7 linked regions of the Callithrix jacchus genome follow. The protein of the gene in region 1 binds, or shares a complex with, the protein of each later gene. Links are inferred from orthologs where the notes say so. Each region holds a gene or a part of one and is shown in the gene's direction. Other genes may lie near its edges. The genes, in order: PPP1CA, CDCA2, RB1, TOX4, PHACTR1, WDR82 and PPP1R7.

Evidence for each region.
Region 2: the proteins of PPP1CA (region 1) and CDCA2 are in contact, whole or in part, in a crystal structure (PDB 5IOH), measured with the Homo sapiens proteins. The link is inferred for Callithrix jacchus from reciprocal best matches to the Homo sapiens genes PPP1CA and CDCA2. Residues at the interface, in NP_002699.1 of Homo sapiens: Gln20, Gly21, Ser22, Pro24, Tyr70, Asp71, Leu73, Arg74, Glu77, Tyr78, Asp166, Lys168, Ile169, Asp242, Leu243, Tyr255, Phe257, Arg261, Pro270, Ser284, Glu287, Thr288, Leu289, Met290, Cys291, Ser292, Phe293, Gln294, Ile295, Leu296; in NP_689775.2 of Homo sapiens: Lys391, Arg392, Val393, Thr394, Phe395, Gly396, Asp398, Leu399, Ser400, Pro401, Glu402, Val403, Phe404, Asp405, Glu406, Ser407, Leu408, Pro409, Ala410, Asn411, Leu414, Gly417, Gly418, Thr419, Pro420, Val421, Lys423.
Region 3: the proteins of PPP1CA (region 1) and RB1 are in contact, whole or in part, in a crystal structure (PDB 3N5U), measured with the Homo sapiens proteins. The link is inferred for Callithrix jacchus from reciprocal best matches to the Homo sapiens genes PPP1CA and RB1. Residues at the interface, in NP_002699.1 of Homo sapiens: Lys168, Ile169, Asp242, Leu243, Phe257, Arg261, Met283, Thr288, Leu289, Met290, Cys291, Ser292, Phe293; in NP_000312.2 of Homo sapiens: Lys873, Lys874, Leu875, Arg876, Phe877, Asp878, Ile879.
Region 4: PPP1CA (region 1) and TOX4 share a complex: the UniProt entries of both Homo sapiens proteins name them as parts of the PNUTS-PP1 phosphatase complex. The link is inferred for Callithrix jacchus from reciprocal best matches to the Homo sapiens genes PPP1CA and TOX4.
Region 5: the proteins of PPP1CA (region 1) and PHACTR1 are in contact, whole or in part, in a crystal structure (PDB 6ZEG), measured with the Homo sapiens proteins. The link is inferred for Callithrix jacchus from reciprocal best matches to the Homo sapiens genes PPP1CA and PHACTR1. Residues at the interface, in NP_002699.1 of Homo sapiens: Pro24, Arg43, Gln68, Tyr70, Asp71, Arg74, Tyr78, Arg96, Gly97, Lys98, Ala128, Ser129, Arg132, Ile133, Tyr134, Gly135, Tyr137, Asp138, Trp149, Lys150, Thr153, Asp154, Asn157, Lys168, Ile169, Met190, Arg191, Pro192, Thr193, Asp194; in NP_001309240.1 of Homo sapiens: Arg424, Lys425, Ile426, Leu427, Ile428, Arg429, Phe430, Ser431, Asp432, Tyr433, Val434, Glu435, Val436, Ala437, Asp438, Ala439, Gln440, Tyr442, Asp443, Arg444, Arg445, Ala446, Lys448, Pro449, Trp450, Leu453, Lys458, Ile461, Arg462, Glu464.
Region 6: PPP1CA (region 1) and WDR82 share a complex: the UniProt entries of both Homo sapiens proteins name them as parts of the PNUTS-PP1 phosphatase complex. The link is inferred for Callithrix jacchus from reciprocal best matches to the Homo sapiens genes PPP1CA and WDR82.
Region 7: the proteins of PPP1CA (region 1) and PPP1R7 are in contact, whole or in part, in a crystal structure (PDB 8U5G), measured with the Homo sapiens proteins. The link is inferred for Callithrix jacchus from reciprocal best matches to the Homo sapiens genes PPP1CA and PPP1R7. Residues at the interface, in NP_002699.1 of Homo sapiens: Arg23, Pro24, Leu40, Arg43, Arg96, Gly97, Lys98, Ala128, Ser129, Ile130, Asn131, Arg132, Ile133, Tyr134, Gly135, Tyr137, Asp138, Lys141, Arg142, Ile146, Lys147, Trp149, Lys150, Asp154, Asn157, Pro192, Thr193, Asp194, Asn271, Cys273; in NP_002703.1 of Homo sapiens: Asn84, His85, Tyr86, Arg87, Arg106, Gln107, Leu109, Tyr128, Asp129, Gln131, Asp148, Ser150, Phe151, Phe170, Val172, Glu192, Gly194, Ser195, Phe214, Gly216, Lys217, Ser236, Gln238, Ser239, Tyr258, His261, Ser283, Glu300, Trp302, Asn304.

Annotation. Positions count from the first base shown.
Region 1 is NC_133511.1:124,477,355-124,481,465, reverse strand, and holds the start of PPP1CA (serine/threonine-protein phosphatase PP1-alpha catalytic subunit), read left to right. Parts: upstream 1-1,311; 5' UTR 1,312-1,408; coding exon 1,409-1,463; intron 1,464-1,993; coding exon 1,994-2,125; intron 2,126-2,281; coding exon 2,282-2,512; intron 2,513-3,235; coding exon 3,236-3,340; intron 3,341-3,738; coding exon 3,739-3,962; intron 3,963-4,045; coding exon 4,046-4,111. UniProt on the Homo sapiens protein: Protein phosphatase that associates with over 200 regulatory proteins to form highly specific holoenzymes which dephosphorylate hundreds of biological targets.
Region 2 is NC_133514.1:16,048,636-16,052,135, reverse strand, and holds part of CDCA2 (cell division cycle-associated protein 2), read left to right. Parts: intron 1-994; coding exon 995-1,191; intron 1,192-2,732; coding exon 2,733-2,817; intron 2,818-3,500. UniProt on the Homo sapiens protein: Regulator of chromosome structure during mitosis required for condensin-depleted chromosomes to retain their compact architecture through anaphase.
Region 3 is NC_133502.1:67,638,881-67,642,984, reverse strand, and holds the start of RB1 (retinoblastoma-associated protein), read left to right. Parts: upstream 1-1,304; 5' UTR 1,305-1,466; coding exon 1,467-1,600; intron 1,601-4,104. UniProt on the Homo sapiens protein: Tumor suppressor that is a key regulator of the G1/S transition of the cell cycle. The hypophosphorylated form binds transcription regulators of the E2F family, preventing transcription of E2F-responsive genes.
Region 4 is NC_133509.1:55,990,333-55,993,832, forward strand, and holds part of TOX4 (TOX high mobility group box family member 4), read left to right. Parts: intron 1-943; coding exon 944-1,186; intron 1,187-2,108; coding exon 2,109-2,369; intron 2,370-2,690; coding exon 2,691-2,921; intron 2,922-3,500. UniProt on the Homo sapiens protein: Transcription factor that modulates cell fate reprogramming from the somatic state to the pluripotent and neuronal fate. In liver, controls the expression of hormone-regulated gluconeogenic genes such as G6PC1 and PCK1.
Region 5 is NC_133505.1:17,700,343-17,704,462, reverse strand, and holds the start of PHACTR1 (phosphatase and actin regulator 1), read left to right. Parts: upstream 1-1,320; 5' UTR 1,321-1,688; coding exon 1,689-1,941; intron 1,942-4,120. UniProt on the Homo sapiens protein: Binds actin monomers (G actin) and plays a role in multiple processes including the regulation of actin cytoskeleton dynamics, actin stress fibers formation, cell motility and survival, formation of tubules by endothelial cells, and regulation of PPP1CA activity.
Region 6 is NC_133516.1:34,802,070-34,806,320, reverse strand, and holds the start of WDR82 (WD repeat-containing protein 82), read left to right. Parts: upstream 1-1,451; 5' UTR 1,452-1,741; coding exon 1,742-1,902; intron 1,903-4,251. UniProt on the Homo sapiens protein: Regulatory component of the SET1/COMPASS complex implicated in the tethering of this complex to transcriptional start sites of active genes.
Region 7 is NC_133507.1:162,429,369-162,433,522, forward strand, and holds the start of PPP1R7 (protein phosphatase 1 regulatory subunit 7), read left to right. Parts: upstream 1-1,354; 5' UTR 1,355-1,383; coding exon 1,384-1,435; intron 1,436-4,154. UniProt on the Homo sapiens protein: Regulatory subunit of protein phosphatase 1.

The DNA of each region.
Region 1 (4,111 bases):
TCTCTCTGTCACCCAAGCTGGAGTGCAGTGGCGCCATCTCAGCTCACTGCAACCTCTGCCTCCTGGTTCAAGTGATTCTCCTGCCTCAGCCTCCTGAGTAGCTGGAACCACAGGCACGTACCACCATGCCCAGCTAATTTTTTGTATTTTTAGTAGAGACGGGGTTTCACTGTGTTAGCCAGGATGGTCTCAATTTCCTGACCTTGTGATCTGCCTGCCTTAACCTCCCAAAGTGCTGGGCTTACAGGTGTGAGCCACGGTGCCTGGCCAATTTTTGTGTTTTGTGTTGAGACGAGGTTTCGCCATGTTGCCCAGGCTGGGCGCAAGAGATCATTATGCCTCAGCCTCCCAAAGTGCTGGAATTACAGGCCTGAGCCACGATGGCCAGCCCACCTCCAGTTTTGAGGTTACTGGTGTGTAAAGCACCCAACTCAGGGTTCCAACAGTAATTACGGTTCATGTAATGTCTACTCTTTATAATTCTTTTTACGTGCACACCCTGCAATATTACTGTGCTACTCAAAGCTTATTATGGGGCCAGGTGTGATGGCTCAGGCCTGTGATCCCAGCCTGGCTAGCATGGAAACTCCCCGTCTAATAAAAATACAAAAATTAGCGGGCGCGGTGACATCCGCCTGTAGTCCCTGTTACTCTGGAGGCTGAGGCATTGTCATCGCTTTAACCCAAGAGGGGAAGGTTGCATTAAACCAAGGTCGCGCCACTGCCTTCCAGCCTGTGGGACAGAGCAAAACCCGCCTCAAAAAAAAAAAGCTAATTATGGGACTTATAAGAAAATATTAATTTAGCATGCCCCAAGGACCAAAGTGCGCTGGGAATTCTAGCTGTCTTTGAGTGTGGTCAGCCGCCTGGGGGCCACGGAGACCCACGAGGAAGGGGGTCCTCGGTGCAAGCGAGGTCCAGGTCTTGAACCAGCCTGTCGCTATGTCTTGAACCTCAGTTTCCCTTTCTGCATTTGGAGAAGTTAACCCTCAGTGCGGGGCAGCCGGTTATTAACGTGTTCACGACACCCTCCACCCAGGGCAGGGGTGGGAAGGGCTGTTCAGCTTTTGAAAGAGAAAAACAACTTCCACATTCCTTCCGGCCCCACATCCTCGAAACGGAGCTGGGCGCCTCCTCTCGGGCGTAACTAGCCTCGGCCCCGCCCCCGACAGACACCGCCCCCAGCCCGCCGCCGAGGCCCCGCCCCCTGGGCCTCCGCGCCTCACATCCAGCGGGGGCGCTAGAGCGCGGGGGGCCGGGCAGGGCGGGCCCGGGAGGCCCGGAGGCGGAGCGGCGGGCCGGGGGCGGACTGGGGCGGGCGGAAGGAGAGCCAGGCCGGAAGGAGGCAGCCGGAGGGCGGGAGACGGGAGCGGGCCCGGAGCTGCTGGACTGGAGCGGCGGCGCCGCCATGTCCGACAGCGAGAAGCTCAACCTGGACTCGATCATCGGGCGCCTGCTGGAAGGTTGGCCGGGGTGGGGAAGGTCCGCGTCCGCCGCGCCCTGGACCCCTGCCCAGCCCGGAAGTGGCGCGCGGGCGGGCCCCCGGGGCCAGCTTAGACTGGGCGGGGACGCGCCGCGAGGTTCCGTGGCCGCAGCCGCCCCCCCCCGCGGACGCGCCTGAGAGGTCCGGGGCCGGCTTCGAGGCGCGGAGCAGCCCCCTCTCCCCGGCCGGGGGCTCACGGGTTGCCTCGGCTCTTGGGGCGAGGGAGAAACCCGGGAAGCCCGGTCCAGGGAGGTGTCTTGCGCTGTGAGGTTTTGGGCGGCAGCCCCCTGCGCACGACAGTCGCCTCCCGAGCCTTTGAGGATAACTAGGGGGGCTTCCCTTGGGAGGCTTGAGGCCGACGTCCCAGGAGGCTCAGCAGCAACAGCTGCCTCTGGGCAAGGAGGGGCCGAGGAGGCCTAGGCGCCCCCGGAGGTATCCACGGGGCCACCGTGTCGCCCACCCTCCCCCTGTCTGAGAGGCCAGGGTCCTGACTCCGCATTGCGCCCCCAGTGCAGGGCTCGCGGCCTGGCAAGAATGTACAGCTGACAGAGAACGAGATCCGCGGTCTGTGCCTGAAATCCCGGGAGATTTTCCTGAGCCAGCCCATTCTCCTGGAGCTGGAGGCACCCCTCAAGATCTGCGGTGAGCAGCCCCCAGCCTCGCCCAGGCCCCTTTGGCTTCCTAAAAGTGGCACTGGCCCCCACAAAGTTCCTGGAGCCCTCCTCCCTTGAGCCTAGTCCTGGCCCTGGGTTCAAGTCTAGACCCAGCATCTAGCTTACTCGGTTCCATGGGTCACAGGTGACATCCACGGCCAGTACTACGACCTTCTGCGACTATTTGAGTATGGGGGCTTCCCTCCGGAGAGCAACTATCTCTTTCTGGGGGACTATGTGGACAGGGGCAAGCAGTCCTTGGAGACCATCTGCCTGCTGCTGGCCTACAAGATCAAGTACCCCGAGAACTTCTTCCTGCTCCGTGGGAACCACGAGTGTGCCAGCATCAACCGCATCTATGGTTTCTACGATGAGTGTGAGTGGTCTGAGCACCCAGGGTTGCCCGGGTCCCGAAACGCTCCTTGCTATTCAGTGGGACCCTCACATTGGCTTCGTATCTGACAGACACTTGCTAGACTGTGCGCTCCACGAAGGCAGGGCCCGCTCCATTCTCGTGCCTGCCCTGCCCTGCCTGGCACGGGGTCTGGGGCATGGTTGCTGACTGGAAGGCTGCTGGTATTCTGGTGCTTGCTCCCAGGGCCCTGCCTGGTGAGGCTCCACTTACATCTGCTACTAAGCACTTAGGATGTGTTTGCAGATGGGCTCAGCTGTCCAGAAGCTGAGATAAACCAGACCTGTACTTGGCCCAGCTTATGGGTGGGGGTGTTTGGGGAGTGCCAGCCCTGAGGCCGGTCCAGATTGGAACTCAGTTTTCATTGGACTTGGGTGCTTTAGAATTACTTCTGGCAGGAAGATCACTTGGACCCAGGAGCTCCAAGTTACAGTGAGCTATGATCTCGCCACTGCACTCCAGCTGACCCTGGGTGACAGAGCAAGACTGTTTAATTAAAAGTTAAAATAAAAAGTAAAGAGAATAGTTCCTGGAAGGCTGATAGGCTGCAGGGGCAGGAGTGGGGACAGGGGCAGGGTGCAGGGTGGTTTGCCTCCAAGCCTCTCTCCTCCCATCTGCGTCTGAATAGCCCAGGGACCCAGGTGGAGGGTGGGGTAGGCGGGCCCCTCACAGCCATCTCCTGGGCAGGCAAGAGACGCTACAACATCAAACTGTGGAAAACCTTCACGGACTGCTTTAACTGCCTGCCCATCGCAGCCATCGTGGATGAAAAGATCTTCTGCTGCCACGGAGGTGAGGGAGGGGACGGCTGGGGACAAGGAGACCTGGCCGCATCCCCCATTGCCGGGCCAGCTCTCCTTAGGTCTGTCTCATCTGGGAAGTCACTCCTTCTGGGAAGTGTCTCCCATACCCCTGTGCCGGGCTGCGCTGACTCCCTTGTGCATCCTACATGGAATAGGCTTGGCTTGTCTATCTCCCGGGAGCTCTGCGCTCCTGAGGGCGGGGACATCTTTGTGCCTCTTTGGGAACCTGCAAAAGCTGAGGGGAAGGGGATGACTTCTGCCGCCTGGGTGCCCAGGTGACCTGTGGAGGAATCAAGGGGGCAGTGGGAAAGGTGAGGCTGATTGGCCACAGCTTCCTGGAGTGAGGATGTCCTTGTTTGAGGATGTGGACTTCCCCCGGTCCCCCAGGCTTGTCCCCAGACCTGCAATCCATGGAGCAGATCCGGCGTATCATGCGGCCCACAGACGTGCCTGACCAGGGCCTGCTGTGTGACCTACTGTGGTCTGACCCTGACAAGGACGTGCAAGGCTGGGGCGAGAACGACCGTGGCGTGTCTTTTACCTTCGGAGCCGAGGTGGTGGCCAAGTTCCTGCACAAGCACGACTTGGACCTCATCTGCCGGGCGCACCAGGTGGGCTGGCAGCTCTGGCCTGGGGTGGGAGAAAGGGAGGCCAGTGCCAGCATGCAGAACTGACTGCTCTGGTCTGCACCCAGGTGGTAGAAGATGGCTATGAGTTCTTTGCCAAGAGGCAGCTGGTGACACTTTTCTCAGCTCCCAAC
Region 2 (3,500 bases), on another chromosome or scaffold:
TGGGCACAGTGGCTCATGACCATAATCCCAGCATGATCATGAGGTGGGCAGATCATGAGTCAGGAGTTTGAGACCAGCCTGACCAACATGGTGAAACCCTGTCTCTACTAAAAATACAAAAATTAGCCCGGGAGTGGTGGCACATGCCTGTAATCTCAGCTACTCAGGAGACTGAGGGAGGAGAATCACTTGAACCTGGGAGGCAGAGGTTGCAGTGAGCTGAGATTGCACCACTGTACTCCAGCCTGGGCAACAGAGCACGACTCCATGTCAAATAAATAAAATAACAGTTGTCATCATACATTTAAAATGTGAGGTACTGTATTAGACACGCAAAAGTATTTTAGTATATCTTTGCATGTTTTAGGTTCTGAAAAAACTCAATTCTAATAATTAAATGTATTCTTTTTCAATAGGCATGTTCCATTCCTTTCAGTTAGATTTTCTTTTTTTTGCTATAAAAAATTGTGCTAGATTTTTCTTTTCATTGATAATTTAGACTCAGGCACTAGATTTTACTAGACTTAGGCTCTTAGATTGTAAGAAAAGTATGATGATGCACAATGGCCGGGCATGGTGGCTCATGTTTGTAATCCCAGCACTTTGGGAGGTTGAGGCGGGTGGTTCACCTGAGGTCAAGAGTTGAAGACCAGCCTGACTAACACAGTGAAACCCCATCTGTACTAAAAACAAAAAATTAGCTGGGCCTGGTGGTGTTAACCTATAATCTCAGCTGCTTGGGAGACTGAGGCAGGAGAATCGCTTAAACCCAGGAGGCGGAGGTTGCAGTGAACCGAGATCACACCATTGCACTCCAGCTTGGGCAACAATAGCGAAACTCCGTCTGACACACACACACACACACAATATATATATACACACACACTATATCTATATCTATCTACACACACACATATATGCATATGTATATATGTGTGTGTATGTATGAAAACATTTATGCCTGTGTCATTTTGTTTTTGTTTTGTGTTTATAGCCGGAAAGGCAGGTCTTAGAGCATGCCAGCAGTCTGGGTTCCCTGCAGTGTTGGCCTCCAAACGTCGGAGGATATCCTGTCAGAGGGACTCTGATGAAAATCTAAGGGATGCTGAAGGAAAAGCAATTGATCTCCAGATACTCAGTATTGATACAGACAGAGGATGTGCAGTTGAAACTTCTGCAGATCTTTCCGAGGTAATTCACTTAACTTTACACATAGGAGAAGGAAGTGTTGGTTTTCTGCATAGGCAGTTTTAAAGCTTTCAGTGCTGTTCTTCAATTTACTACCTCGTTCTGCCCTGTGGTAGCTAGATGGGTGAGTGGTGGTGTGTGTGTGTGTGTATGTGTGTGTGTGTGTGTGTATGTATGTGTTTCCCACCTGTTAATTTTATGATTACCTCGTTCTGCTCTGTGGTAGCTGGGGTGTGTGTATGTGTGTGTGTGTGTGTGCGTGTTTACTACTTGTTAATTTTATGGTTGGTTGTTGGTATCTATCACTTCTTAGAAAGCGTTTGGATAGAGATCTCACTTTTGACTACTAACCTTATGAAGAGAATAAGCCCTGTGGTCTTCTGTGTGTGAGATATTCTATAGGGTGATGCTCCAAGAAGGCAGGAAGTCACAGTCCTGCCCTCAGGCAGTATTTTTTCTCCTGGGGAGTGGGTTATAAGCAGATGGTTTCAGTGGAGCTGGTGGATCAGGTGGAGATTATATGTGGGGTGTACTCCGCAGGTCTGGGAGTCTTGCGCTTCTTCCTGGCCCTTACTGCTTTCCTACTGACTGGAATTCAGGGTGCCATTCAGCAATTGCTCCTTTGCACTGCTCACTTCTTTCAAGTAGCTCTAGGGAATTTTGTGGCTTATAACTACCTAAACCCTGTCAAGATGATTAAAAGGTGATATTAGGAGAAAAATAATACTAAGTGAAGATCAGGCGGCCTTCACGCACGTGTGAACAGGGAGCTAGGCTTTCATGATGGGCTTTTCCTGCTTCACGTTCCTCGTTCTGGTTTGACACAGTAGCTTCTCATGTCCTTTGTGAGAGGAGACACCTAACACCATTACAGTTGGAACGCTTTCTGTACCTTCTCTGTCGCTTAGATCCAGTGCTCATCCTCTTCACTGGATGTGGACTGGTGGAATAAAGGTTCGATAGTAGTTAAGAGATTCTTCAGGTTCCAGTGGGTTTCCTTTGTATCTCAGTCACCTGTAATCTTGGCTCCCTTTGCCTTATTCAGGTTAATGTGAAATCCCCATCTGACAGAAACAATGGTAATTGTTTGTAAGCAGAGCTTTGGTTAATTGTTTGAACATACATCATGATTCAGACATTATTTCTGAGTTAGTGTGAATGTGTTTTTATCTTAGCCTTCAATGGCTTTCGTATCTTAGTTATTGATGATGTTTGGCTTTTGATTAATAATTAGATAAACTTGTCTTTATTTTGAGAATTTTCTCTAAAGAACTGTAGATACAACTGTCTAGGCTTTAACAACAAAAATAGGTCCTTTAAACGTTTCCTGGGGAATTAAAAGTTGATTTGTGGGATGTTTAGGATGCAATTAGTATGAATACTTCATTGTTAGATTCCTGTATGCTTTGAGTTTTTGAGATAATGAAGGTGGCTGATTGAATACCAAATTTCCAGGTAATCTATAATGTTTACTCAAATCTTCAAAAAGGTATTAGTAGTACTGTAAGTAATAAAATGTAATAGTCTTTCAATGTTTCCTCAAGAAATCGTCTAAACCTGGTTCAACACAGTCTGGATTTTTCGTGGAAGAGTCTCTTCCCCTTTCAGAGCTCACAGAGATTTCAAATGGTAAGTATTTAACTTTTTCTTAGTACACATCCAGTTGCCTGATTCATAGACATTTATGATTAGTGTACCTATTTGCTAACATTTAGGGGAACTGAAATGGTTCCCTACTTTTTAGGATCTTATGGCCCACGAGACATGCTTCCGAATTCTTGTAATATGAGGGATATCCTCTTTTTTAAGCTACCATCACTAAGAGTTAGTGAAGTATTTACAAGCTCATGAAATTTAGTATAAAGAGGCAGGACCTATGAATATATTAACAAGTATTCTTTGTTAGAGAAACACTACTCATAGTATTTTTATTTGTTTTTACGCATGTAAAAAGAGTTTTATCAGGATGTAATAATTACTTATTACTTCTTAAAATCAGTATGCTTGTACTGAGTGAACCCTAGCAAGGGTTTAGATTGACTTTTATTCTATTTGGGTCTTCAAAGTAAAGCTCTTATGGGCATATAATTGGATCTTGTGTTTTTTTAAATCCATTTTGATAATTTATTTTTGATTGGAATATTTAGCCTCTTAACTTTTCAAGTAATTACTTAGATGGTTTTATTCACATCTGTCATTTTATAGTATGTTTTCTATTCCTACTTATTGCTCTGTAACCTTTCATGGTCTATTTAGGTAATACTGTACAATTTCACACGGAAACTTTACGAACTCTACAGATGAATTTCCTC
Region 3 (4,104 bases), on another chromosome or scaffold:
AGCTGCTACAGGATGAGGGGATTTACATCAGAGCACAACTGTAGTCTATTCACAGCACAAATCATCTCATTCCTTCTCAGTTGGTGAGTTCTGAGTGGGCAATAACTGTCTACCAGAGATAAAAACATGTACTCAAATTCAATAATCTATTTATATAAATACCAAGACACAGAAGCGATAGTTTTAAGCCAATATGGTAGTCCCAACAAGCTTTTTAATGTCTTTGTGCCTTTGCACATGCGCCTTCTCTGTTTTCTTCATCAAAATAATGTAATGGACAAACGGAATCAAATACAGTTGAGTTTAAATCCTCTGCTACCCATCTGCCATGATACTGGGCAAATTAACTTCTCTGAGCCTGTTTCCCTGTCTGCAACGTAACTAGCTAATACTACCCATTAGAAAGGACTGTTTCTTAGTTAATGCATGCCGGGCTTAAAACCTAGACGATGGATTGATAGGTGCAGCAAACCACCATGGCATACGTTTGCCTATGTAACAAAGGTAAACGTTCTGCACTTGTATCCTAGAACTTGAAGTTAAAGAAAAAAAAAAAAAAGCTGTTTCTGGGGATTAATTATGTAAGGCGATCTGCACAGTTCCTGGTACACAGTAAATGTCAGGCCTGTCTGGCAAACTTCTATTCAACAACTACTGCTCCTCCGAAAATCTCCCTTAAATGTTTCCACGGTGCTTCCCGTTTTTACACCACTGAGAAGATCTTTTATTACATTAATTCTGTGTTCATTTCCCACAGATCCCTCCCCTTTCCCTAACCAGTGATCCCCTAAAGGCCAGCAACTGTCTAACATTTTGCATCTTCTAGTGACTAGTAAAGTTCAGCACCTATTAGCGCTCCAAGTTTGTTTTAGTTTTGGCCGACTTTGCTAAATCGACTGGGCAGGAGGAGACGGCGGACACCGCCCAGGGAGGCAAAGGTGCGCGCCCGCTGAGGGTGCACTCGCCAGATACTCCCCGCGGGGCCCGAGCGCCTTCCGTGTCAGACCCCGGGATAGGGACCCGGCCCACAGTCCTCCGCTGAACTATTTGTATAGCCCTGTTAAGGACACCCCAGCCTGGAGGGGGTGGTTTCGAGTGGAAACACGTCCGGGCCGCGCCGGATGCCTCCCGGAAGGCGCTTGGACCCACGCCGGGTTTCCCAGTTTATCCCTCACGACCTAGCGCTCCAGCCTGCGAACCGCCCAGCGCCCCAGTGCCCCACAGACTCCCGCGGGCCCGGGAAGCCTCGCGGACGTGACGCCGCGGGCGGAAGTGACGTTTTCGCGCGGTTGGACGCGGCGTTCAGTTGCCGGGCGGGGGAAGGCGCGTCCGGTTTTTCTCTGGGGACGTTGAAATTATTTTTGTAACGGGAGTCGGGAGAGGACGGGGCGTGCCCCGACGTGCGCACGCGTCGCCCTCCCCGGCATTCCTCCACAGCTAGCTGCCTCCAGCCGCGGGAAGGCGTCATGCCGCCCAAAACGCCCCGAAAAGCCGCCGCCGCCGCCGCCGCTGCCGTGGAACCCCCAGCGCCGCCGCCTCAGTCTTCTCCTGAGGAGGACCCAGAGCAGGACAGCGGCCCGGAGGACCTGCCTCTGGTCAGGTGAGCGAGCAGAGCAGCCGCCGCCTCACGCGGGAAGGGTGCCCCGGGGGTGCGGCAATCGGGCGGGCGCAGAGGTGGCTCGGCTGGACGCATTCTTGCCGGCGGCCAGGTCCTGGCGGGAGGAAACGCCCTCCCTGCCCCCAGCCACTGCTGAGCGTCTGCAGAATGGTAACAGGGTTCTGGGGTCGCGGGCTAGGGGTCTCGGCTTCAGCTTGACAGGTGTCGGCGGGTGGGATTAGGGTCCTAAGTGAAGTGACAGGTGCAGTTTTCTCGTGAGGCGGAGGCTCGGAGGCGGAGGGTCGTTGGGAGCGTCCATCAGACGTGAAAAATAAAAATACAAAAATGACTGGTATCTGTGGGAGAGTTTTTCACCGTTTAAGATCTGGAGTACTCCAGTGGTCATTTGACTTTCTGTTTTAGTCTTACGCGATGCAACAGTTGGGAAGTATTTTCTTCTAGGCGTGCATTGCATCGGAAACCCAGTCGTGGGAGAGCCCAACCAAAGAGCCTTGGACGACAAGCGCAGGGTCCCGAGTGTCCATTGCCTACAGGGTACTCCGCTCGGGAGCTTTCCGGGTTTCCTTAGAACAATGCGTCGAGGCCTTGGGGACTCAAAGCCATCTGTAGTGACTATGGGGGCATAACTCTTCAGAGGAACTGATACATGGGCAAAACTTTCGTGAGACATTTACCAGAAGTACTTGAAAGTTTCTAAACTTTTTTTTTCCTGTTGGACGAAGTCTTCTTGTGCGTTGGTCGGCTTCAGCTTGTCTCGTTATTTCTTCCATTTTGCCTTTTGCCTTTGAGCCAGCAAGGATCCTGGTGTCCCCTCTTTTTGTCTTTGCTTTTGGCACAAAATTAGTGGTTCTGTGCTCACATGGAAATTTTCTTTTTCCCTTACTAAGTGAAATCGAAATTTAAGCAAGTCCATGTGGATGCACTAGAACTTGAAGGAAAGTGTTTATTGTATTGCAACTTCTTTTCTTTTTCATCACTGGTTCTACTTTGAGACTACAGGTTCATTGCAGGGGAATGGGAGTTGTTTTTGTTTTTCACTATTTTCTCACCCTTTTTCGTCTATCACCAAATCCTTTCACCCTCACTCACTTTTTACACTCGGTAGACACTAACAGAATTCACAGCGTAAAAGATTGAAATGGGATTTAGAAATGGCCCGTGGAAGGCTATTAAAAATTTATATATTTAAATGAAATGTCTTATAGGTCATTTAAAAACCATATTCGTTAAAAAACAAAACAAAAAATTAAAAACCACATCTGGGGCATGTTCTGAGAAAAGACATGACTTTACTTTCTGATTAAATTCTGATATGTCCAATTCTTCCAAAGTTCCCTTGGGAAAATGCAGTAATGGCTACTCTAAAGAATTCCATGTTATGCACATAGCTTTGGAAGCATACTCTAATGTAGGGTAGCTAGAATATTGAGGTTCTGGCTACTGTTTGGAAAAAAGAGGATTGTGTTTCTTTCATTTTTTAACTCATTATTTTATATATTTTAAGTAATGGAACCATAAAAAATTATCTTGTAAGTCAAAACCATGCAAGATACAGTCTGTTCTTGTTTATCTGTACCCACCGAGGGTTTAATTAACATAGACAGTTAAACTCTAAATGAGCAAGGGTAGAACCACTAACCTGCAGTCTGATGCTGAGCAGCATCTTGCCTGGAGATGGAATCAGGGCTCACTCCAACTGCCCTTCTAGTGACAGATTCCATTTCTAATTTGAGAGTTGAGATCTTATTTCTGTTGCCTTATCTCTGGCCTAAGTAATGTAGCTGGAAGGGAAACTCATTAGGAATAGCATACCACCTTCATTGTTGAAATAGTAGAAGGTTTTGAGCTGGATGTGATGGCATGTACCTGTAGTCCGTACTACTCAGGAGGCTGAGTCAGGAGGATCGCTTCAGCTTGGGAGTTGGAGACCATCCTGGGCAACAAAGACCCCAGTCTTTAAAAAAAACAAACAAAAAAGCTGACCAGGCATGTTGGCTCACACCTGTAATGCCAGCACTTTGGGAGGCTGAGGTGGAAAGATTGGTTGAGGCCAGGATTTTGAGAGGAGCTTGGGCAACAAAACAAGACCCTGTCTCTACAAAAATTTTTTAAAATATTAGCCAGTCATGTGGCATGCCTGTAGTCCCATCTACTCAGGAGGCTGAGGTGGGAGGATCCCTTGAGCTCAGGAGTTTACGGCTGCAGTGAGCTATGATTTTACCACTGCATTCTAGCCTGGGTGACAGAGTGACACCCGAACTCAAAAAAAAAAAAAAAAAAAAAAGAAAAGAAAACTAATTATGTTTTGAAGGAGGAATTGGCAGTCAAGAATAGTGGTCAGGGACATGGATTATGAAGTTAGACTGTTGGGGTCACATGGTGGTTTACCTCTTACTGGCTGAGACCTCTGATAAGTTCTTTAACTTCTCTGATTTGATAGATATCTGTAAATGTTTACTTTCACAGATGAGAACACTTATCTAAAA
Region 4 (3,500 bases), on another chromosome or scaffold:
CATTGTTGAGGTCTTCTGAAAATCCTATACAAATGGGAATCTATTTGTTGTTAACATTATAATTTCTGTTGTTAACATTATAATTTCTAAAGTGGAGAAGAGGTAGGAAACTCTAAGTGCAAATACGTTAGAGGGGGATAAAGTTCCCATGACAGTACATTTTAGCATCCATTTGAAAGGAACCTAAAACAACAAAGTATAATTGGCTGGCTAACGATGAATTTCTGTGGCCTAACAGTTTAGGTGTAATAATTGTGAAACTAACTGTTCTCTATGAGAATCTTTAGAGAGATGTCAAGGATCATAGATAAACAAGTTATAAAGGCTATATCTAAGTAATGGTACTGAAAGAATTATTCATTAGAACAATAGGCATAATTTAGGGCAACAGAGATGGTAATGGTAGAAAAGAGATACAAGAATTGAAAATTGCCAGGCGCAATGGCTCATGCCTATAATCCCAGCACTTTGGGAGGCCAAGGCAGGTGGATCACTTGAGGTCAGGAGTTCAAGACCAGCCTGGTCAACATGGTGAAACCCCATCTCTACTCAAAATACAAAAATTAGCCTGGCGTGGTGGCACGTGCCTATAATCCCAGCTACTCAGGAGGCTGAGGCAGGAGAATCACTTGAACCTGGGAGGTGGAGGTTGCAATGAGTTGAGATCATGCCACTGGGTGATAGAGCGAGATTCCGTCTCAAAAAAAAAAAAAACAGAATTGAAAATTGTGGCTGTTAGCTGCCTTGAATGTATCATATGACCAAGAGTATTAGAAAGAAGAGAGATTTGTAAAATTAAATAGGTTCTAAGAAATCGATTACAAAATAGGATCCTAAGCAGAAAAAATGTACCCTGAGAATCTCAAATACCCTAATACGTTCACTTGCTGTATGCCATTTCTCCTCTTTTCACGAATTCTCTTCCCCCTTTTTTCTTCTACAGACATTCCATACACCAAGCTTGGGTGATGAAGAATTTGAAATCCCACCTATCTCCTTGGACTCTGATCCCTCATTGGCTGTCTCAGATGTGGTTGGCCACTTTGATGACCTGGCAGACCCTTCCTCTTCACAGGATGGCAGTTTTTCAGCCCAGTATGGGGTCCAGACATTGGACATGCCTGTGGGCATGACCCATGGCTTGATGGAGCAGGGCGGGGGGCTCCTGAGTGGGGGCTTGACCATGGTAAGGGGCAAGACATTGTCAGGCTTACCCCAGCTAATGGGCATGGCATTAGAGGAGACAAAAGTTACTCTTTATTCCGTACTCCACTTGGGTATTACTTGTTTCTCATTCTTGTGGCTAAAGGCTCACCAACTAAGATTTAATTTCACTTGAGTAAATGAAATTTACCATGTAGGTAGATTTTACTTGAAAAATAATTTAAAATTGTACAATGTCTGGTTTGAAAATTATTGTGGTTTTTGAAAAAAATGTTTTCTGCTTTTATTATGGCCTTTAAATCCTAGGATTCAAATTTGAGTGTGATAGCTGACACATGGAGGGATTTATTCAGAAATGGTCTGAACCATGTTGAGAAGCTAGCAGAAAGAATAGTGCTTTTTTTTTTTAAAGGTCTGAGCCAAATAGAGTATTAATTGTGGATTAGTATGTGATATAAATCAGTATGCTGGGCTTCCAGCACATCTCAGCAGTAGAACATCTTCATACTCTGTATTTGATGCCAAATTTCTGTAATAATGGGCTTATTTATGCTGATTGCCTGTATATTGCAATTTTAAAAGCTTTTGGGAGGGTACAGACAGGAAGGTTTTCTTTACTCAGTGTGTTGTCACTACCTATAGATTACTGAATAAGTTGATTGCTCTTTAACTTATCCAACGGTATGACTTCTGATTATTTTTATTTCTTCTTTTGAGTGCAGAGAAATAAATTCATTAATTTCTGTACTTTTTAAAAAAGCTTAGTTTTTAAAAATATTTTTGTTTTTGCTTAATTTGTTTTATATGAAGACAAGTTATTTGATGTTTTGTAGTTTAAATGATACAGTCTAGGTAGGCAGGAAATTTATAAGATGTCCTATATTCAGGGGGGAAAGTGGTTTTTTTTATATTTAATGTTTAATTAGTCCTTCTGCTTCTCTCAGGATTTGGACCATTCTATAGGAACTCAGTATAGTGCCAACCCACCTGTTACAATTGATGTACCAATGACAGACATGACATCTGGCTTGATGGGGCATAGCCAGTTGACCACCATTGATCAGTCAGAACTGAGTTCCCAACTGGGTTTGAGCTTAGGGGGTGGCACCATCCTGCCACCTGCCCAGTCACCTGAAGATCGTCTTTCAACCACCCCTTCACCTACTAGTTCACTTCAGGAGGATGGTGTTGAGGATTTCCGGAGGGTGAGGCATTCCCTGTCAAAATCAACTCTGCCGTGATAGTCTAGGATAAAACTCTTGACATACAGAGCCTAATGAGTATTCTTTACCCCTGCCCTGGCATCTCCTCTGCTCTTTTCTGGGTATGGGGTTCCACCTCCCAATTCCCAGTTTATAATTCTCCTCTCAATTCCTATTCTTATTGGTTCACCATACTTGACTAATGTCTTTTAATGCTATTACCACAATTTTTAGCATTTCTGAAAATGCTGTACGTTAGCTAGTTTCCAGACATAATACTTCTCATTGTCCATTATGTAATTCTCTCTCTTTTCTCCCCTACAGCAACTTCCCACCCAGAAGACAGTGGTGGTGGAGACAGGGAAAAAGCAGAAGGCCCCAAAGAAGAGAAAAAAGAAAGATCCTAATGAACCTCAGAAACCAGTTTCAGCGTATGCTTTATTCTTTCGTGATACACAGGCTGCCATCAAGGGACAGAATCCTAATGCCACTTTTGGCGAGGTTTCAAAAATTGTAGCCTCCATGTGGGATAGTCTTGGAGAGGAACAAAAACAGGTGAGCAAATATTGAGAAACTAGTAGTGAATGTTCCAGAATTTTTTGTTGTTTTTTGTTATTTTTGAGATGTAGTCTCGATCTGTCACCCAGAGTGGAGTGCAGTAGCATGATCTTGGATCACTGCAACCTCCACCTCCCAGGTTCAGGCGATTCTCCCTCAGCCTCCCGAGTAGCTGGGATTACAGGTACGTGCCATCACGCCCAGCTAATTTTTGTATTTTCAGTATCGACGAGGTTTCACCATGTTGGCCAGGCTTGTTCTCAAACTCCTGACCGCGTGATCTGCCCATCTTGGCCTCCCAAACTGAGCCACCGTGCCCAGCCTGTTCCAGAAGTTTTTAAAGAGATAAAAACTGAGGTTTTCCTTTTTCTTACATGTTCTTACCTAGTACCAGCTGTTTGTTAATGACACATATCATCCTTTGTCTTAGAAGTTGCAGCTATATACTGACTCCAGAAAACCTATTTAAAAATTATTAATAGACTATGTGTGGTTGCTCATGCCTTTAATCCTAGCATTTTGAGAGGCCAGGGCAGGAGGATTGCTTGAGCCTATGAGTTCGAGACCAACCTGGGC
Region 5 (4,120 bases), on another chromosome or scaffold:
CAGAATGAACATGAAGCTCTCTCTTATCATGCTGATATGGGCAGAACTTTTTACAGATAAGAAATATCAAAGATGATAGAGGGGTAGAACTGGAGTGAGCAGAAGCCTCTTGTAATATAGTAATCTAATATACTCAGCTGATCATTGACCCTGTTACCTGTGAGGCAACTGTACATGTAGAATTTGCCCAGTTGGAGGAGAGACTAGCAAAGAACTGCATTTTATGGGAGAGGGAGTCATAGGGAATTGTGAAATTAGCTTTGAGGAAGTTCCTAGAAACAACGATAATGACAGTGCATTCTTTAACTGACACTATTCTGGTAGGCTGGAAAAGAGGACGAGCGTGTGACTCAGAGTAGGCTGGAAAGAACACAGATTTGGGGGCAGACACACCTGGCTGTAAACATCTGTATCTCCATGTATGCTTTGCATCAAAGTCACCGAGGGAGATTGTTAAAGGGACAGATTCCTAGACACTGCACTGACCTACTAAACCAGAATATCAGGATTTGGGGCTCTGTAATCTATATTTTTAAAATAAGTACAGAAGGTGATTGTGATATGGGGCTTCTCTAAGCCTTGGTTCTCTAAAAGGTGATAGAGGATTGTTGTGTGAATGGTGGTTTATTGGAAATAGTGTGATTTTAATAAGGCAAATCCATGGCTGAAGAATAATAATTACAAGTTATTGAGCCTTGATTTGTTCTGCATGATTTGTTAAGACACTATTCTCCCTGCAATCCCAGCTACTTAGGAAACTGTGGCAGGAGCATCGCTTGAGCCCAAGAGTTCGAGGCTGCATTGAATTGTGATTATGCCACAGCACTCTAGCCTGGGCGACAGAGTGAGAGCCCATCTCTAAAAACAATTTAAAAGAAAAATAAAAAGAAAAAACACTGTTCTCCCTTTGGAAATCCTGGTGGATGACGCTTTGTTAAGCCTTAATCACTGTGCTAAAACAGCTGGAGAGTATTTGGCCAAATTAGGCGAGAATCCCAAACTCGCAAATTGTTCTGAGTCTTGATAAAATCAGCATTTCTTTTTCTTAATGACCCTGGCGTTAAATCTTCTTTCGGGTCGGAGCATTTCTATGGGAGGTGAAAACATCAATTATGTTGTAACAGGTTGTCTGCTCCAGTGAAAGTCAAGGGCTGCGGGTTGGACCCGCCGGAGAAGGGTAATTTCTTGTGGCCCCGGAGGGGCGCTTGCACCCGAGGGCTCCCGGCGCAGCACTTCCACTGCGAAACATTTTGCTTTCATTCGGCAGCTTTAGGCGTGAAGAAAAGGGGGAGGGGGTTGGCGTTCCGCCCTGGAGCTCTTGAGAGTGAAGGTAGCTGCAAACCCAGCTGGTTCTCAGTAGCTGGTGCTGAGATTTCCGGAGGGGTGGGGCGGCCAGAGGAGGATGTGCACGTGGGGCCCGGGGAGAGGTGGGAGTGGAGCGTCTCAGGTGTGACCGAGGAGCGCCCTGCGCACCCGCTCCTCTGGCCTTGGGATTCGGATTGGCTCCGGCAGCGAGGTCTGCGAGGTCAAGACCCTTTCGGCGCCCTCCCGGACCCGCCCCGCCGCGGCGGCGTAAATGTAGAGCAGCTGGCGCAGGCGGGGCGGGGGCATGCTGGCGGGGCAGAGGGGTGCGAGTGGCAGCGCGCGGGGGTCGGAGCAGTGCCCGACCCCGGGCGCCTGGGGACCGGATGGCGGAGCCCACGCGCTCAGCGAAACCCAGGAGGTTTGCGCTCCGCTTGCGGCGCTGCAGGGAAGGCGCGGTGCCAGGCGCGAGTGCCGAGAAATCCAAAAAGAAAGCTTTTTATTTGCTGAGGATGAAGCCCCTGAAGGAGCCCGCCCCCAACAACAACAACAACGTGTCCTTTGTGATCCACTGTCAACTAGGCAAGGAGATTAAACACATTTGCAGCAACTGCAGTCGCGGTGAGGACGCCCGGGACGGTGAGTGTCGGGGCCCGTCGGGGCGACGGCAGCGGTGGGCGCTGGAGGCGGGGAGGTGGCTCCGTCTCAGTTTGGGGGCCCCGCCGGCGTATGCCGCCTGGAGAACTGTGGGGACATCCGCTCTCCACCCAGACATGACACCCGCCCGCTGGGCACCTTGCAGAGTGCCACCCACGAGCCCAACCCGGGCTCGCACCCTGCATTTCCCATTGACGTATGTGGTCCCCAAAATGAGGGTTTTGATACACTTAAAAGAGCAAGTCGGATTTTCACTTGGGAAGCTGAGGTTTAGGGGATTTGCTGGGGGCAAAGGATCTTATTCCTGCTTTTTCTTTCCATGAGCTTCTTAACTGTTGCCCCATGCTGGTCATACGTTGGGATACAGGGTTTGCTGGGCTGCGTTACGGACGTGGGCTTCCTTCGGGTGGCATCAGTTTGGAGAGGCGGCTTGGCGGCGGCGCCCAGCGCCCTAGAGACTTGTGGAGTTGTTGAATGATGCCTGTTTAGAGTAAAACATGGCTGTGATTTTTGGAGCGCGGCTGCTGGTCCCTGCTGGAATGATGCCCAAAGGCCAAAATGGGGAGAGGTGGGGGAAGGGGCGCGCAGCGGCATTTTCCAGGTGAGCTTGGGCGTGTGCGAGCCAGAGCTCTGGCAATCCAATCTGAAGCAAGACAGTGAAGGGATAACCGGCTGCCAGCGACTCTGGGCGGAAGGAGCCCAGAGCCTGGGACAGCCGGCGCGGCCCAGGCAGGAGCCTCTGCAGCTGTGGACGCACCTGTGTGGCAGAGCATTCGCGCAAGCCTCCAGGCGGTTCCCGAGCAGCTCACAGAACAGGCTCTTCAGGGCCGCTGGAGGTCATGGAAAAGTTTTAGGCAGCAGATTTTGCATTGAAAGCCTTAGGTACTGGCCGGCCTGGTGCTCATCTCCATGCCTGACCCGCACACCTGCTTGGGCAGGCAGATTTTTCCCATCAGCCAGGCAGGTTTTGCTGTTCCTTTTGGAAGAACAAACATTACCTAGGATCCTTCCCATTCTTAGTCTGCCTCTGAAGTGCAGAGTAATGAAATGACTGTGACTTGGCTAATGTCTTTTCAAAATTAGAGTCCTACTAGCGTCATTATCGTTTTCTTTGATTAAACTTCAAGAGAGACTGTGCAGGACAGCACCGGATATTCAAGAGGAAAACTGGGATGGGACTGGAGGAAGGTGCCCACACAAAACACAAGAACGCCACTGCTGATAGATGGGGTGGGGAGTGGGGTAGGGTGGGGATATGTTTCTGAGAGGCACATACTGACAGGTGTTTCGATTTTTGTGATTACTACATCAGCTGATAACGTCAATACCTATGGAATACAAATGGGTTAATCAGATGACCCAAAGCCAGACCTTTCCCATGTAATGAAATAGAGCTTGAGATGCAGGCTAAAATGTTTATTAAAATGTTTATTAAATGTCGGTTGCTCTCTTGACTGAATTGCTGCCCAAATGGGCTGCCTTCACAACCTTGGGAGTTTATTTAAATTAGTATCTGTAAATGCTGCTACAGTAAGGAAAGGTAAATGTCCATACTCAAAATGTGTTGACAAATGTCATTATGAGTGCCATCACTGGTCAACGCGGTGTTCCCTGTCAATGGAGGCAGGTACGTATTTTAACCTATAGCACATAGTTCTTGAAACATGCATCATCTCCATGGCCTCACACACTTCGGAATGTTCCAAGTAGCTATGTATGGATGCTCACATATCACCTGATAGGATTATTTACCCTCAAAGCATTCTTCAACGGGGAAGACAATGTTGTAGTGCCTAATTTTATGCTGCTAATCCTGCCAATCTAATGTGCGGTGCACTCATTTAATCACGAAAATTGAATGAGGTCAGGAGTCTAACCCTTCTTTTGTTATTGCCAGAAACCACAGCAGCACTGCCCACTGTGGAAGTTCGAATAAATTTCACTTCTGGCAAGGATTGGCCTCCCGTGATAGTCTGTAAGGAGTGGATGTTCTTTTAGATAAATTCTCTAGAAGCAATTTGCAATTTGAATCATATTTTCTACATGCCAGGAGCACCAGCTGTTTTAAAACATTTGTATGCTCGAGATCATTGTGAGGCAAACAGATTTCCCCAATGTCCTATTTTGTCAGGCTCTATAGAAGAAGGTGCTGCTTAAGGTG
Region 6 (4,251 bases), on another chromosome or scaffold:
CATTGCACTCCAGCCTGGGTAACAAGAGCGAAACTCCATCTCAAAAAAAAAAAAAAGAAAGAAAAGGTAAGCAGTTTTATTTACAGAAGCCAAGGTTAGCAGTCATTGTGAGGAGAATGGGGCAGCCGTTACAACTTATTTTTGAAAAACAGCTTTGTCTTTTCTAAAATGGTGTTGCTCAGGTTCCAGCTATAGCACAGAGGTTGCAGTGAGCTGAGATCATGCCATGGCACTCCAGTCTGGGTGACAAGAGTGAGACTCCATATCAAAAAACAAGAACACCAACAACAATCCGGTTTACTAACATGGAAAAATGTGTAAGATTTAACACTAAAAGGGGCGAGGGTTGCATCTATAAGGTTTATATGCATATATATGAAGAGAAGAAGAAATTCGAATTTAAAACTGTATCCTCTGGCTGGGAACAGTGGCTCATGCCTATAATTCCAGCACTTTGGGAGGCCCAGGCTGGCAGATCACCTTAGGTCGGGAGTTCGAGACCAGCCTGGCCAATATGACAAAACCCCATCTCTACTAAAAATACAAAAATTAGCTGGGTGTAGTGGTGAGAGCCTGTAGTCCCAGCTACTCAGGAGGCTGAGGCAGGAGAATCGTTTGTACCTGGGAGGTGGAGGTTGCAGTGAACTGAGATCTTGCCACTGCACTCACCTGGGGGACAGAGTGAGACTCCTTCTCAAAAAGAAAAGTTATGAAGCCGGGAGCAGTGGTTCATGCCTGTAATCCCAGCACTTTGGGAGGCTGAGGCTGTTGGATTACCTGAGGTCAGGAGTTCGAGACCAGTCTGACTGACATGGTGAAACCCCATCTCTACTAAAAATAAAAAAAAATTAGCTGGGCATGGTGGCACACGCCTGTAGTCCCAGCTACTCGGGAGGCTGAGGTCAGAGAATTGCTTGAACCCCGGAGGCAGAGGTTGCAGTGAGCGGAGATAAGACCAATACACTCCAGCCTAGGCGACAGAGCGAGACTCCGTCTCATTGAAAAAAAAAAATTGTGCACTCTATTGTATATCACAGCCCAATAAAATAGTAAAGAGGTCGAAGCTGTCTAAGCGGGCGCTGCGGTGGAGTAGCGGTCAAGACCGCCTGCGAGCGGTTCACCTGATTCACCCCCAAAACCGGCTTCCAGCCGCGTTCCCGACCCCAAAGCACCCCTTCCGCGCGGCTTGCGGTTGGGGCGCCTGTAGGGGACACCCGAGCCTTCGTAGGGGGATGTTGCAAGCCCGCGCAAGGGCCCCCGGCTCCCAGGCACTCGCCACCTTCCGACACCCTGGGGAAGGCCCTGCACGTCCCGACCCTTCCCTCCCAGCAGCCCGCCGAGCCACTACACTCGACAGCGGCAGCGCTGACGTCACCGCCCCGCCTCCCCGCCTCGCGCGGCTGTTCCCGCCCCGCCCCCTTTCCCGACGTGCGCCGCGGCTAAAGCTCCTCGCCCTCCGCTTCTGCCTGTCGCCCCAAGATGGCGGACACAATGAGCCGGCTACGCGCTAGTTGCCCCTGAGGTGGCTGTGAGGACCAAAGATCGGCGAGGCTCCACAGTCCAGGCAGAAGACTGTTGTCCAAGCAGGAGGAAGGGGAGGAGGCGGCCCAACTGTCGGCCGACTTCCCGCTAGCCGCCGGCGCGGCGCCGGCCCCGCCTGGTTGGCCCCTCGGCAGCCCGCCCGCTCGCCGCCGGGCCCCGCCCCGGCCCTGCGCCGCCGCTGCCTTCCCCTGCCGCCGCCATGAAGCTGACCGACAGCGTGCTGCGGAGCTTCCGCGTCGCTAAGGTGTTCCGCGAAAACTCGGACAAGATTAACTGCTTCGATTTCAGCCCCAACGGCGAGACGGTCATCTCGAGCAGCGACGACGACTCCATCGTGCTCTATGACTGCCAGGAGGGCAAGTGAGTGAGGCGGAGGCCCTGGGCCCGGGTCTCAGTCCCTCCCTCCCTCCCTCCGGTGGCCCAGCACTGGTCCCTCTGCCCGCCCTCCGTCTCGACTTCAGTCCCCGGTCTATTTTGCACGCGTTCCTGCCAGGGCCACCTTCACCCCGCAGCCGTCCAGGAGACCTTTTATTTTTTCTTCTGAAAAAAAAAAAAAAAATTGTGATAGTCATAATAATGGCATTATTATTTGTATGTCTAAGGTCTCCTTAAAGCGCTATGCATCGCTTGCCAAGCCCCACCTTGACCTTGACCTTTAAACGCCCGGTCTGCCCACCCCGGGCCCAGCAGGTAGCGTTTTCAGCTCCTCAGGTTCTCTAAGGTGCTGGTCGTCTCCGTCCTCGTCGCAGGACTGCAGGGGCGGCTCTCCTGACTCCTTCGGCAGCTCTCTCTTCTGCCCTCTCCGCTGTGACCTCGATTCCTCCCTGGCACTCCGCCCATCCCCTGCCCCTCAGCTTCTTGCGACCTTTCTGCCGTCAGGCCGCGTGGGTTGCAGTTCTTAGCTGTCAGGATTTATTTGTTGTGCCTCTTTGAGCCCCCTTGCATTTTCTTCCTGTTCCTAGGCTCTCTCTTACTCCGTCAGAATCGGTGCCCACGTTCTTAAGTGAACTTCTCAGCAGCATCTAAAACTTCCTTTTTGCCACATACAAACAAACTTGGTCGTCCCATCCTGACCTGAATGTGAGCTTCCGTTAAAACAAAGCAAGCATCGTAGAACATTTTTGGGTTTCCTTTCATCCTTTTTTAAAAATTATTATTAAATATGTTGGTCCACTTTGAATTCCAATTCTGACCATGACATTTCTATGTTGCCGCAAGTCATCTGGAGACCCACCACACCTGCATCTTTTCACAAAACCTAAGCACGGCACTTTGCCTTTTTCCCTGGGGGGTCCCTGGCAGCCCCCTCACCGCACGCCTGTGGACTTGCAGCTCCTTGGAGCCAAAACTAGCTTAGATTAAATTCGTTTTACCCTCAGCCCCCTTCCCCATGAAGGCTTGCTGATGTTTGGTTTAAATCGGTGGCCCCTGGTTTTGTCAGACTTGATTTTGTTACTTAGTAACACATCTTGTTTTTTTGAGATCTTGGGTTTTTTTCTACCTTCTCCAGCTGTTTCTTTTGCTTTTTTTTTTTTTCCCCCCCTGGTGTCTTTTGGAACGTGTCTTTTCATTTGTGAATTTGATTATCTGAGGTAACACTAGTTTGGACTGAGCTATAGTGGTATCCCCCCCCCACCCCCAGTTTTTTCCCACTGGGGCTGTGAAAAAGTGTTATGTAACTGGCTCTGGATCTGCTTGCAGTATGTGGCAGGGTGGTCTTGAGGAGGGAATTGTTAGCTGGGCAAATAGTTTGAGTCAGTGTTACTCATTTAGTAGATAGATTTCTGTCCTGGTCTGGTCACTTGAATCAGTTTAGAAGAGGAAGTAACATTTAAAGGTATGGTAGTAGCTGGAGTTGTGGAGTCCTGGAGTAGTAATTTGAAGCTGGCTTGCATGAAACGTTTAGTGCTTATGCACAGATTAGGACCTCTTCCCAGAATATGAGGATGGAGATCATATATCCTCATTTAAAGAAAATGAAGGTTGTGATAGCATTTCTTTGCAGTTTGTCCCCAAATTTGGCATAATTTCTCTTTGGGAAGTATAACCTTGACATGAGTCTGGTCTGGTTTTTTTTTGAGACAGTCTCCCTCTGTCGCCCAGGCTGGAGTGCAGTGGCATGATCTTGGCTTACTGAAACTATCGCCTACTGGATTCAAGCGATTCTCCTGCCTCAGCCTCCTGAATAGCTGGGATTACAGGTGTCCGCCACCATGGCCTGCTAATTTTTGTGTTTTTAGTAGAGATGGGTTTCACCTCATTGGCCAGGCTGGTCTTGAACTCCTGACCTCAGGTGATCCACCCTCCTCAGCCTTCCAAAGTGCTGGGATTACAGGCATGAGCCACTGTACCTGGCCAAGTCCTGTCTTGTTAAGAGTAAAATGCCAATTTTGTGACATCAGGCAGTTTATTCACTCATGTAGCATTTTTATGTAATTACAAACATAGAAATTTGCAAGTGTTTCAGAGAACTGCCATATGATTCAATAACTGGTTACATTTTCTGCATTTGCTTCATTACTGCATGTAAATATTTATATATACTGTGTGCCTCCCCCCAACCCTTTTTTTTTTTTTTTTTTTTTTGAGACGGAGGTTTGCTCTTTTTACCCAGGTTGGAGTGCAATGGCGCAATCTCGGCTCACCACAACCTCCGACTCCTGGGTTCAGGCAATTCTCCTGCCTCCTGAGTAGCTGCGATTACAGGCA
Region 7 (4,154 bases), on another chromosome or scaffold:
TAGGCGGCGGCAAAGAGAGCGCATAGTCCCAGAGGATGCGACCGAGGCGCGGGACGGCGGCTCCCGCGGGGCAGGCTACACAGGAGCCCCGAAGACGCAGGGGGCGCGGGGCCCGAGGCCAACGGCCGCAACCCCGCCGCGACCTGAGCACGGAAAGGACGCAGGTTCGGCGGTGAGCGAGGGGCGCAGGGGCCGGAGACCCGGAGTCTGGCTCGCCTGAGAGCAGCGCAGGCCCCATAGCGGCCCTCGGGAGACTGCGGAGCGCAGCTGGCTCTCCCCGGCGCAGGATCTCACCTGGGTCAGGCGAGGGTCACCCCGAGCAGGCTTCACACCGCGGAAGGGAGCCCATCCGCGCTTCTATCCCACCGGCCAATCGCACAGCGACTCGCGCCGATTGACAAGCTTCAAGGACCAACCACTTGTGCTTGTGGGCGGGACTAAGAGAACTGCAGCCCAGAAGCCCGCGCTAACGGTTGCTAGGGACGCAGCAGACACCTCCTACGGCGCTTCGGAGGACCCAAAAGGAATGGGCGCCCCCGCCCCCGCCCCCCCCCCCCCGCCGGGCAGATACGGTTTCCTCCGGTCTCGGGATCAAAAAGGGTGAGTAGCGCAGAGCTGGCCCCTTGGCGGCCTCTTTCTGAAGTCAGCGGACGCGGGGCGGCTTGCTTACGGGCCCGGAGGCTCCGCGGGATAGACGAAGACTGCAGCTTCTCGTCCGCGCTGGGATGGGAACGGCTTACAAGGGGAGCCCAGCTGGAGCCCCAGAACCGGCCAGCCGGCTGGCGGCCCCACCAGCGCAAGTGCCCCGCACCTACCCGGCTGCTCTGAGCGTCAGAAAAAGGCGGCCTTTCGCACGGGTAAAATCCGCGCGGGGACGCCGGGAGAATGTTGTTGCTTTTGCCGTTCGGCCCATTGTACAGACGCAGCCAGCGAGGCTCGCAGAGGCCAGGGGGACCGGCCCGCAAATTGCAGCCACGGAGAGATCCGCCTGGCCCGCGGCCCCTCCACGTCTCCGAGGTCGGGACAGGGACATAAGTCAATCCTCGAGCCCAGGGCGTCTCTGCACTCTCCCTCGACGTCCTCTCCATCCGCTGGCAGCCTCGGCTCTGTGTGTCCCGCTTCGACTCCCCCTGCTCTCCTTCCCAGTTTCTCGCCTCCAGATTGCTCCGGCTCCGCTGCCTTAAATTACCTGCCCCGGGGGAGGCACGGCGCGCGGCCTCATGAAAGAACTACAACTCCCATGAGGAGCTGGGCCCGCGCAGGCGCGCCGCTGCTGGAGCCGCCGCGCCGGAATCCCATTGGTTGGACCGACTCTGAGGCGGGAGCCCTGATTGGTTGAGGGACCTGAGGCGACAGATTCCGGAAAGGGGAAGAGCAGCCAACATGGCGGCGGAACGCGGCGCGGGGCAGCAACAGTCGCAGGAGATGATGGAGGGTGAGCGGCCCCTGCGGGCGGCGGCCCAAAGGCCCGGCGGGCGGGGGGAGCTGCGGGCCGGAACTGCTCCGTGCCTGAAAGAAACTCCACGCCCCACCTCCGGTCTCCGCCTCGCGGCCCCCTGACAGCTGACAGCCGGACCCGGGGGGAGCGGGGGAGGCTCGACTTCAGGGAGCCCTGGCTCGAGGGCGGCAGCGGCTGGGGGGAGAGCGGCGGCGCGAGGCCAGGCCGGGGGTGGGGCTGAATGGGACGCGGCGGCTCCATTCAGTCCAGTTGGAGCCTCGCCCCGAGCCTCTGAGATTGACCGGCGGGGGAGCGTCCTCGGTCAGCTGACGAGGAAACTGAGGCTCCGGGCGCTGGGACCCACCGTAGTTTGCTCCTTGGTTCACGTGGCGAGGGTGGAGAAGGGTCTCCTCTTGAAATCGAATGGACTGTTGCGAAGGGGTAACGAGGAACCAGAAGATTGAGTTTCGGAAGGTGATGCTTGTTTTCAAAGCTGTCATAGTTCCCAAAAGACTAAATTCCACTTTCTTCCTCCTCATTCACTTTGTTGGAAAAAATTATATACACGTGTGTGTGTGTATACATGCCTGTAGGGGCAGTCATATACATGTATGTACGGTGCGTGTGCACATGCATGCACACACCCAGTACAGTCGTATACATGTATGTACGGTGCGTGTGCACATGCATGTTATATACACGTGTGTGTATACATGCTTGTAGGGACAGTCATACATGTATGTACGGTGCTTGTGCACGTGCATGCACACACCCAGTACAGTCGTATACATGTATGTACGGTACGTGTGCACATACATGCACACACCCAGCACAGTCATATACATGTATGTACGGCACGTGTGCACATGCATGCACACACCCAGTACAGTCGTATACATGTATGTACGGTACGTGTGCACATGCATGCACACGCCCAGTCACCGCCAACTGGGAAGCAGTCGTCAAGTGCTTGAATGCTCTTGGGTCCCACGGTTTGGTGAGGGTTACAGAGCTCGCCGAAGAACAGCCACCGCCTCCTGTGAAAGTGGTAGGGAAGAGGAATGTGGAGCTGGGGGAGGAGGGTGGGTGCAGAAGGAAGGGCTGACGTGTTTGGGAGTGGCAAGGCCAGCCCTGAGCTGGGGCCTGAAGAATAACTGGAAGGCGACGAGGTTGGGAATAGGGTGAGGGAAAAGAGCAAGAATCACTCCAGGCGAAGAAAACTGCAGTCAAAGGGTGTGGAAGAGAGTTTGACCAAGTCATATGTGATAGGGATGGGGGCGGTGGTGGTAAGGGTCTTGGACTTTTATACCCTTGAGGCTTTTTAAGTAAGAAGTGCCTCTTTGTGTCCTCCCACTCCCTCTTCAAGTGTTTCCATGTCTTAGTAAATGACAAATATAAAGGCCGGGCTTTTCTCTCTGCCCCACTCCCACCCGTGTCCTATTAGTCAAGGAGCTCTGACACCTCTACTTTTAAAACTATCTCCAAGTCTTCGATGCCGCCTCCATTCCCATTGCCTGTACCTTAACTCAAACCTTTGTCATCTCTAGGCTAGACGGATTGCCCCTACTCACCAGCCCCTCATCCCCAGTACACCAGAGTAATCTTCTTATATTCTGAGTCACTGGCCCATGTTCCAGACCCTTCATTTTGGCTAACCTTCATTAGTTAAGCCTCTCCTAACCTCACCCCTCCTCCCCTTCCTGGGGTCTCTGCACCAGCCTGTCGCTTAGTAGAACTTTCTCTCCCTAAGCCTGGACCACCAAGTTCCCTGTGCCTAGTTAAACATCTGCTGCATGTCATGCACATGCTGACCGCTCTTGTGCCTTTTCTGATTTAACCCTGACAGCAACTCGCTGAGGTGTGGGTTCTACACTAACTCCCTCCCACAGACTAGGAGATTGAGGCTCTGAAATGGAAATGATTTGCCAAAGCTGCATCTCCAGCAGCAAGATGCAAACTCAGAAAGAGCATTCTAGAAATACTTTGGGACTCAAAGATCAGATTTGGATTCTAGAATTAGATCAGCCTCTCTGGCAATGGAGAATGGGTTAACAGAGAGACGAGTTAGGAGGCAGGCCAGGAGCCCAGGCCGCAGCTAATAGGTAACTGAGCCACTGTCATTGCCAGGGTAGGGAAGAAGAGATGGATCTGGAGGTTTTGGAGGTCGGTTTTATAAGGATTTGTTTTATTCAGCAATTCTTTCTTGGGTTTTACTTTGCTACTAGGCTAAGCAGGAAATACAAAGATGAAATTGAACTCTCTCCCTCAAAGAGCACATCTCTTTGTAGATAAACCATAGTCAGGAGAGAGTATTTTCAGTGTGGTTGATAATTCCAAGTAATGCGTTAGTGCCTCGTGTTTTCCAGACAGACTTCCAGAAGAGGTCGTGAATAACGTTACAAAAAGGAAAAATGGACCGGGCGCAGTGGCTGGCGCCTATAATCCCAGTACTTTGAGAGGCTGAGGTGGGTGGATCACTAGGTCAAGAGATTGAGACCATCCTGGTCAACATGGTGAAACCCCATCTCTACTAAAAATACAACAATCAGGGGGGCATGGTGGTGCGCACCTGTAGTCCCAGCTACTCGGGAGGCTCAGGCAGAAGAATCACTTGAACCCAGGAAGTGGAGCTTGCAGTGGAGATCGTGCCATTGCACCCCAGCCTGGGCAACAGTGCCAGACTCCATCTAAAAAAAAAAACAAAGAAAAATGATTT